3 linked regions of the Saccharomyces cerevisiae S288C genome follow. The protein of the gene in region 1 binds, or shares a complex with, the protein of each later gene. Each region holds a gene or a part of one and is shown in the gene's direction. Other genes may lie near its edges.

What was found. Proteins that work in one complex are often made in the same cells at the same time.
Region 2: POP3 (region 1) and POP7 share a complex: the UniProt entries of both Saccharomyces cerevisiae proteins name them as parts of the nuclear RNase P and RNase MRP complex.
Region 3: POP3 (region 1) and RPP1 share a complex: the UniProt entries of both Saccharomyces cerevisiae proteins name them as parts of the nuclear RNase P and RNase MRP complex.

Annotation. Positions count from the first base shown.
Region 1 is NC_001146.8:105,931-108,829, forward strand, and holds POP3 (Pop3p), read left to right. Parts: upstream 1-1,756; coding exon 1,757-2,344; downstream 2,345-2,899. Other genes in the region: WSC2 (Wsc2p), read right to left, coding at 1-765; HCH1 (Hch1p), read left to right, coding at 2,537-2,899. UniProt on the Saccharomyces cerevisiae protein: Required for processing of 5.8S rRNA (short form) at site A3 and for 5'- and 3'-processing of pre-tRNA.
Region 2 is NC_001134.8:570,889-573,795, reverse strand, and holds POP7 (ribonuclease P/MRP protein subunit POP7), read left to right. Parts: upstream 1-1,905; coding exon 1,906-2,328; downstream 2,329-2,907. Other genes in the region: PEX32 (Pex32p), read right to left, coding at 184-1,425; TYR1 (prephenate dehydrogenase (NADP(+))), read left to right, coding at 2,596-2,907. UniProt on the Saccharomyces cerevisiae protein: Component of ribonuclease P, a protein complex that generates mature tRNA molecules by cleaving their 5'-ends. Also a component of RNase MRP, which cleaves pre-rRNA sequences.
Region 3 is NC_001140.6:222,298-225,267, reverse strand, and holds RPP1 (RNA-binding RNA processing protein RPP1), read left to right. Parts: upstream 1-1,509; coding exon 1,510-2,391; downstream 2,392-2,970. Other genes in the region: 2-dehydropantoate 2-reductase PAN5, read left to right, coding at 99-1,238; GIC1 (Gic1p), read left to right, coding at 2,790-2,970. UniProt on the Saccharomyces cerevisiae protein: Component of ribonuclease P, a protein complex that generates mature tRNA molecules by cleaving their 5'-ends. Also a component of RNase MRP, which cleaves pre-rRNA sequences.

The DNA of each region.
Region 1 (2,899 bases):
CGATGAGGGGGTAGAAGTGACCGTTGCTGTCGAAGTTGAGGATGAGGTCGATGTGGTGGATGAAGAAGTTGCCTGCGTAGAGGACGTTTCTGAACTGGAAGAGGCAGAAGTGCTAGAGGAAGTGGTGGAAGGAGAAGAAGAAGTAGAAGTAGTACTAGAGGTAGTAGAAGTAGTAGAAGTAGTAGACGTAGAAGAGGAAGAGGATGAAGAAGAGGAGGAAGTAGTTGTCTCTGAAGAGGAAGTGGTAGTGGAGGTTGTAGACGAGGAAGAGGATGAGTGCGTAGCAGAAGAACTAGTTGAAGTTTTCGTGTCCAATTTCGTGGACGTTTTTGAACTAACACTTGTGCTTGATGAAGATGTTGTCGATGTTGAGGTAGCAGTAGATGAAGTTGAGTCCGCGGTAGAAGCAGCGTTATTGATATAAACGTTCATGGCAGAAGAACCACCACAATTTTGGTAGGGCCAGCCAGCACACGAAACATCACATTTGCTCGAATCTACCTGCGTCAAAGACTGTAACTGAGCTACGGAACCACCACAGTAGCAACCTGTACCGTTGAAAAGAGCAACGACAGCCTGACCAGGGCATTCATTTTGACAGTAGGAAACTGATTGATACTCGTAAACACCCTTGTAAGTCAACCCCAATTTTCGTATATCACTAGCTGAATAGCAAGCTTTATATGTGAATTGGTCAGCCAACGCGGCTCGTATATATATGAGCCACACTAAGATGAAGGACTTGTGTATGAGATCTAGGTGCATATTCCACTTCTATAATGCTGTTGGTCAAAAAGAAATTCAAAGAAGAAACAATTAGAAACCAGAAAGTCTGTAAAAATACAAAAAAGCGTGTCCTATAACCGAACAGCAATGTTTGTTTTCACTAGATTTGTTTTCTTTTGGCGAAAAACGAAGGTAGAAATGAAAGTAAAAAAAGAGCAATAATGGTAAATCAAAGGCTAGCCACGCTTTGAGCTATAGTTGGTCGTGCTGAGCAATAGTAAAGAATTGAAAAAGCGAGTGGATGATTTGAAAACTGCTTATATGTTTTACGTTGAGGGTTTCTCCTCTTTATTTCTTCGAAGGACGGAGGACAGGTATAAAGCAGTCGCTGGAACTCTTTTCCCTGACAATCTTAAAAAGAAAGACCGAAACAGAGTGTTATAAAACGAAACAAAAAACCTGCTGTAAATGCACTTCTGGGAGAAGTGCTAGATCACAACATACAAACATATGCAAATTCATAGTAAAAGGAGATAGGGCCCAGATGACCAAATCAAGAATGGCTCACTGTTGAAACATTCTGCTTAATGTCGAAACAGTCCGTAAACAAACACATTCCCACAAAACACCGCACCGCGAAAAAAAAAAAAAACAGGAAAAAACGCGAAATGTCCGTAACTTTACCCGGTAATAGTCACGTGATAAAGGTGCATTGGTCTAGCTGGCTGTTCTGGCCAACGCGACAGCAGGGTTCATACTTTCAGTAGAACAAAAATCGGGGGAAATGCGATGCACTCTTTAACTGCAATTATGCACATCCTATTGCCAGGGCGGATATTTGATGTTGTTCTCAGATATGTATTCCCTGATCTATACCGTTCTCATAGTTCAATTTTCTCTGATTTTCTCGTGCGGGCAATAAGTAAAAAATAGCATTTGCGTGCTTAAGTGAAATTTTTCAGATTATGAGTGATATAGAGATGAGGACTGTAACAAGAAGGAAGGTGAGGAAATCAAGACGGTAAGTAGCATGTCCGGGTCGTTAAAATCTCTAGACAAGAAAATAGCTAAAAGAAGGCAGGTGTATAAGCCCGTGCTAGACAATCCGTTCACAAACGAAGCACATATGTGGCCGCGCGTGCATGATCAGCCATTGATTTGGCAGCTGCTGCAATCCTCTATCATAAATAAGTTGATTCACATTCAATCGAAGGAGAACTACCCTTGGGAGCTGTATACAGATTTCAATGAAATTGTGCAGTATTTGAGCGGCGCTCACGGAAACAGCGACCCAGTATGTCTATTTGTGTGCAATAAGGACCCTGATGTACCGCTTGTGCTCTTGCAGCAAATCCCGCTATTATGCTATATGGCGCCCATGACGGTTAAACTGGTGCAGTTGCCCAAGAGTGCCATGGATACCTTCAAGTCGGTTTCTAAATATGGAATGCTGCTGCTGCGGTGCGACGATAGGGTCGACAAGAAATTCGTATCGCAGATCCAGAAGAACGTTGATCTGCTTCAGTTTCCCTGGTTAAATGCTATCAAGTATCGGCCCACATCTGTCAAGCTGTTGAAAACTACAGTGCCAATTGTCTCGAAGAAGAGGCAAAAGTAGACAAAATTACCCGCGCAGGCCTATTTTTCTAGAAGACAGAAGAAAAAAGTGGGCAGAGAAAGCGAGGAAAAAAAGAAATACATATGAAGAAGAAAAAAGCTGAAATTTAAGCAAATACTTTTTGGACAAAATCATCAAACTACTACTAAAGTTTGAAACGATCGGAAAGTTACAACACATTTACGATAAAATATGGTTGTCTTGAATCCAAATAACTGGCATTGGGTGGATAAAAACACCTTACCTTGGTCTAAGGACTACTTGAACGGTAAATTAACGAGTTTGTCCACTGTTTCCTCTGATGGGAAGAGCAAAATTGAGTTAACCCAGGTGAGTAGCATCACCGGTGACTCCAACGTATCTCAAAGGAAGGGCAAGCCGATTTGCTACTTTGACTTACAGTTGTCGATGAACGTCAAAGTGACAAATTTGGATACTAATAAGGACGACGAGGATGATGACGGCATACTTGCGGACGGGAAACTAGAAATTCCAGAGTTTATGCATGACGAGTCTGATATTCCGATTTTGTCGCAAGGGTTTGATGCTTTTGAT
Region 2 (2,907 bases), on another chromosome or scaffold:
TAATTATTTCTACATAAGCCGTTATAAGAATTTAATGAAAATTATGAAATAACATACACAAAGTGCACATGATCTTATAAAGTTTTACTTGTCCTATGTTTCAAAGTATGAGAAAATTCTTCATATCATGATAATGTTAGGCAACCAACTATATATGCAGTTTAGAGGCTTAAAGCAATACTATTACAAATGGAAGAGGCGTCGTTTCCATTTTCTTGACCTGGTAAAACTTTCCAAAGAACTGTATTGTCCAATTTCTTTCCATGCTGAATCTGAATATATCCAATCAGTTCCGTCCCAATTATCATTGATCCAATGCCAATTATTGGGTAATTCTTCTTCACCAAGTCCATCTGGGGGCAAACAACTCCTCATGGTTAAAGTTCCATCAGTGTTTTTAATTTCTATGCAGTAGTTTTGTCTTTCGTACGGCAGTAATTTTGTACTCCAATTTTTATTTTGATACCACCTTCTTTGATTTTCGTATACTTCAATTTCTAGTATTTTAAGGTCTTCATTACCAAAGTTATCTTTTTGCTCATTAAGTAGAAGCTGTAGAATATGAATGTGGTCATCACCCTTCTTGTCCCGAAGTAGTTTAGGCAATACCTCTACCAGTGGCACCGTGATTGCACGTCCTTGAGATAAAGGAATAATTTGTTCCATCTTTAAGTGTTTTGGTAAGAAACTCGAAATTTTAAAACTTTCAATCCCCAAATAATAGAAATTCCTAACAGCAGTAAACCTCCAAAGTAGCCTTAAGGTAGCTTGAAAACTACTCGTATTGTATATCAAGCCGGTAATAATAAAAAATCTAGTATAAGTTCCCGGTGATATGTATCTCATGATAATAATTTGAAAAATTGTACCGAATAAGAATAATCTGCAAAACAACCTCTTGCCAGAACACTCCTTATTGACGCCATCAAATGAAAGCTTTAATTTTTTCCAAACATTCAGCTCGTTTCTCAGTACTTCCAGTTTATCCAACACAGACTCTAGTAGCACGACAATTTCATCCAATGTAGGAGGTTCCGTGTCTCTTAACGAAGCTATCAATGAAACAATATAATACATGAATGATAAGAATAGAAATGCCCCGCTTATAATGCCTAACCATAGTCTCAAAATCTTTGTAAATGGCAGAAAATGGCTAGCCTCTGTTTCAACGGGGATAAAAAAACTTATGGTCAGCCATATGCTCGTTAGATAAATGAATGTTAAACATTTATCGTCGGACAGCCACATTATATTCGCTAAGGCATTGTCGAATATTAGTAGTAGTGGATATGCGTGAAACAGAGTGCTGGAAATCATTGGAGGTGTAATTTGGATAAGAGAGGGCTTTTGCCCATGATTATGTATAAATTTCGCCTTAATTTTTTTATTTTCAGTTTGTACTTTGGTTTTAGAATTTGTGTCCATTTCTTTCCTTGAAATTAGCAAAATGATGTCCACTGAACTAAATTAAGATCAATGAAAGAAAAGAGAAAGTATGAAGTAGTTTCGAGTGATTGCACCTTCTTCATCAATTCTGTTTACCCTTGCAGTTGGTGTTCCAGTAATTCTTGGAAATAAGCATAAAAGGGTATTTGTTTCGGGGATAATTTCTTTACTTCCCCACCAGGCTGTTGAATTGAATATGAAAATGGTATGACAACAATAATGTCTAAAATTCCCAAATCAATTTGGTAAAAATCTGTCCAGCTCAATATGGTTGAATAATCATGAGAAGTACATCAATAGTCTTCTCATGTCATTTCGAAAAAATGTTTTTTCTTCATTTTTTTCCTGCGATTGTTTGACCATTTGTTTAATTTCACTCTCTGTAAAGAGCTACTTAACTATTCAGAAATAAGCAATAAGATTGACGGTCAAAGAAGAAAAGAGAACTCTGCACCCAGGATGGCACTCAAAAAGAATACACACAACAAATCTACCAAACGAGTAACGAAACACCCATCTTTGAAAACTCTAACGCATAAGCAAATACACACAACAATTTTCGTTAAGTCTACAACACCATACGTTAGTGCACTGAAAAGAATAAATAAGTTTCTCGATAGCGTTCATAAGCAAGGATCATCCTATGTTGCGGTTTTGGGTATGGGTAAAGCTGTAGAAAAGACACTGGCATTAGGTTGTCATTTTCAAGATCAGAAGAACAAGAAAATAGAGGTTTACACTAAAACTATAGAAGTTCTTGATGAAGTAATAACTGAAGGCCAAGCTGATATCGACATGGAAAGTGATGTTGAAGATGACGATAAAGAAACCCAACTAAAGAAAAGGGCTGTAAGCGGTGTAGAATTGCGTATTTATGTTTAATATGTCATACTTTTAGCGCTCATTGTTATTGTATACTATTTATAGCTAACAGTTTATTATTAGATTTCCTCTAATAAGCGTTATACCAGTGTAGTAAGTTTATCACTTCAGCTATGTGTCATTTTTTTTTTTTTTTTTTGAGGCCTTATATGAAAATAAGCTTTGAAGAAAGTGATACTGGAATTATTCAAACCAAGAAAAGTTTTTAGAATTACAAGAATACCGTAGCACTTGAAGGAAAGAGGACAGCATATCCACTTGATAAACATGGTATCAGAGGATAAGATTGAGCAATGGAAAGCCACAAAAGTCATTGGTATAATTGGTCTGGGTGATATGGGCCTATTATACGCTAATAAATTTACAGATGCTGGATGGGGTGTTATATGTTGTGATAGGGAAGAATATTATGATGAACTGAAAGAAAAATATGCCTCAGCTAAATTCGAACTGGTGAAAAATGGTCATTTGGTATCCAGGCAAAGCGACTATATTATCTATAGTGTTGAAGCATCCAATATTAGTAAGATCGTCGCAACGTATGGACCATCTTCTAAGGTTGGAACAATTGTTGGGGGT
Region 3 (2,970 bases), on another chromosome or scaffold:
AAATATATTAAAAAAACAAGATACTTTATACTCACCTTTGTATGTTACGATCGATAGGAGAAATCGATAATATACGTATACGATAAAGTCTGTACAATATGACTGCACCACACAGAAGTACTATTCATATTCTTGGGTTGGGTGCCATGGGTACCGTTTTGGCAGTTGACCTTTTAAGATTTACCAATGCCCTAGTTGTGCCCTTATTTAGATCACAAGAAAGACTTGCACAATTTCAGAAGACAAATGGGAACAACATTTCGATTCGCAAACTTTATTTGGAAGGCTCGCCAATATTTTCTTATCCAGTGGAGAAATGCGAATGCCCTGAAACTTTCTCTAAAAAACCTATTGACAACTTAGTCGTCACTACAAAGACTTACCAAACCAAAGAAGCACTAGCTCCTTATTTGCCTTATATTAATAAAAATACAAACTTAATTTTGATTCAGAATGGACTGGGCGTTTTAGAACTATTGAGAGAAGAAATCTTTACAGATTCAAAAAACAGACCACATTTATTTCAGGGTGTCATTTCTCATGGCGTTTATCAGGATAAAGCAGGAGTTTTCAATCATGCTGGGTGGGCTGGTATGAAAATTGCCAAATTGCCTTGGACTGAGGAAGAAATGATTCAAAAAAAATCCGTAGTCGAGGACGATGCAGCCAATAACTCATTAGTAAAATTATTAACAGAACCAAAATTTGCCAAGGAATTTGGAATAGAACATTCCACTTATCAAGAAATGCTCTTTGGTCAATTATTTAAATTTTTGGTTAATGCATGCATGAATCCAGTTACGGCTATTCTAGATTGTGTCAATGGTGAGATGAAGGCCAGTTGCGGTCCAGTTTTCACATCTATTATTGACGAGTGTTTACAAATATTGAGAGTTGCTTATAGGCCATTGTTTCAATACCACGAAAAATACAGCGGTAATGAAGAATACCCAGAAATGGATGTCAATGCAGTACTGACAACCGATAACATGGTCTCCGAAGTCACTAGAATTGGCTGTGACATCAATTCTAGGAACAGTAGTTCAATGAGACAAGACACTTTGTTCTTAAGAGACATTGAAATTGAGTATATCAATGGCTATGTCGTCAAATTGGCTGATAACTTAAATCTAGACCCAAACTGCTGCAAGGTTAATAAAACTATCGGAGAATTGGCCACTATGAGATTAGCATTGAACAGGTCGAGAAGTATCAATGGTGACTGGAGAAAGGACTGAAAATGCGCGGATATCAGCCAGAACATATACATTTATAAATACTGATATATATACACTCTTAATGCTTTATTCGAGCGAACCTTAACAGTCTGAAGGCAGATTAATTTGTCAAGTGCCTCTCTTTTGTTACTACTACCAGAAAACATGAAAAATGTATGTGCGATGCCCAGAATTTTACCTCGCATAAATGAAAAAATTTCATTTTACCAGTAGAAAATACTTAACCTAAACAGACACAAAAAACAAAAGTGAAAGCATTATAGAACCGAGAATGCTGGTAGATTTGAATGTACCGTGGCCACAGAACAGCTATGCAGACAAAGTTACTTCTCAGGCGGTCAACAATTTAATAAAAACGTTATCCACATTGCATATGTTGGGATATACACACATCGCCATAAATTTTACAGTAAACCACAGCGAGAAATTCCCCAACGATGTTAAGCTGTTAAATCCTATCGATATCAAGAGAAGGTTTGGAGAATTGATGGATCGAACAGGGCTAAAATTATACAGCAGGATCACGCTAATTATCGACGATCCATCGAAGGGACAGTCTCTTTCCAAGATAAGCCAGGCCTTTGATATTGTAGCAGCATTGCCAATCAGTGAAAAGGGCCTTACTTTATCAACTACCAATCTGGATATTGACTTGTTGACCTTTCAGTACGGGTCGCGCCTGCCTACTTTCCTTAAGCATAAAAGCATATGCAGCTGTGTGAACAGAGGAGTAAAACTTGAAATTGTTTATGGCTATGCTTTGCGTGACGTACAAGCTCGGAGGCAGTTCGTATCCAATGTAAGAAGCGTCATCAGGAGTTCGAGGTCCAGAGGCATTGTTATCGGCAGTGGTGCCATGTCACCACTTGAGTGCCGCAACATATTAGGAGTAACAAGTCTAATCAAGAATTTAGGTCTTCCGAGCGATAGGTGTTCGAAGGCCATGGGAGACCTAGCTTCACTCGTCCTCCTAAATGGCCGCTTAAGGAATAAGAGCCACAAACAGACCATTGTTACCGGTGGTGGTAGCGGAAACGGCGATGACGTGGTCAACGATGTTCAAGGCATCGACGACGTCCAGACCATCAAGGTAGTGAAAAGGAGTATGGATGCTGAACAATTAGGCCATGCTTCCAAAAGACACAAGCCTTAAAACGATACGCTAACCTATAACATATAATGTATAAATGATAATTAAATACGTACCCGGGTAGTAGACATCGCTATTATCATCACAATCCACGAATCGCGACGCGAATTCGCGAAAAGACAACAACAATAAAGGAAAAAAAAAACAAAGAAATTTTTCGACGATTTCCATAGAGAAGGAAAACAACGAATAGACAAAAAAATTTGGGGATCCAAGGCATATTCTGTTACATTGTACCTGTAGGATTTACTGAGAGCTGAAACCATTGAAAACTATTCTGCAATTAATTATCTTCGTACGGACTATCACTACTTTTTTTTAAGAAAGACTTATTTCTATTGTTTATTGTTTATAATTCACTCTGAATACTCGCTTATTAATTGTGTGATAAATTCTAAAGGATGACTGAAGGAAAGAGGCTGCAACAGATGGAGCTTCCTCAAATGAAATCCATTTGGATTGACGAGGATCAGGAAATGGAAAAATTGTATGGATTCCAAGTAAGGCAACGATTCATGAATGGACCTAGTACGGATTCCGATGAAGACGCCGACGAAGATTTAGGAATTGTTCTCGTTGACA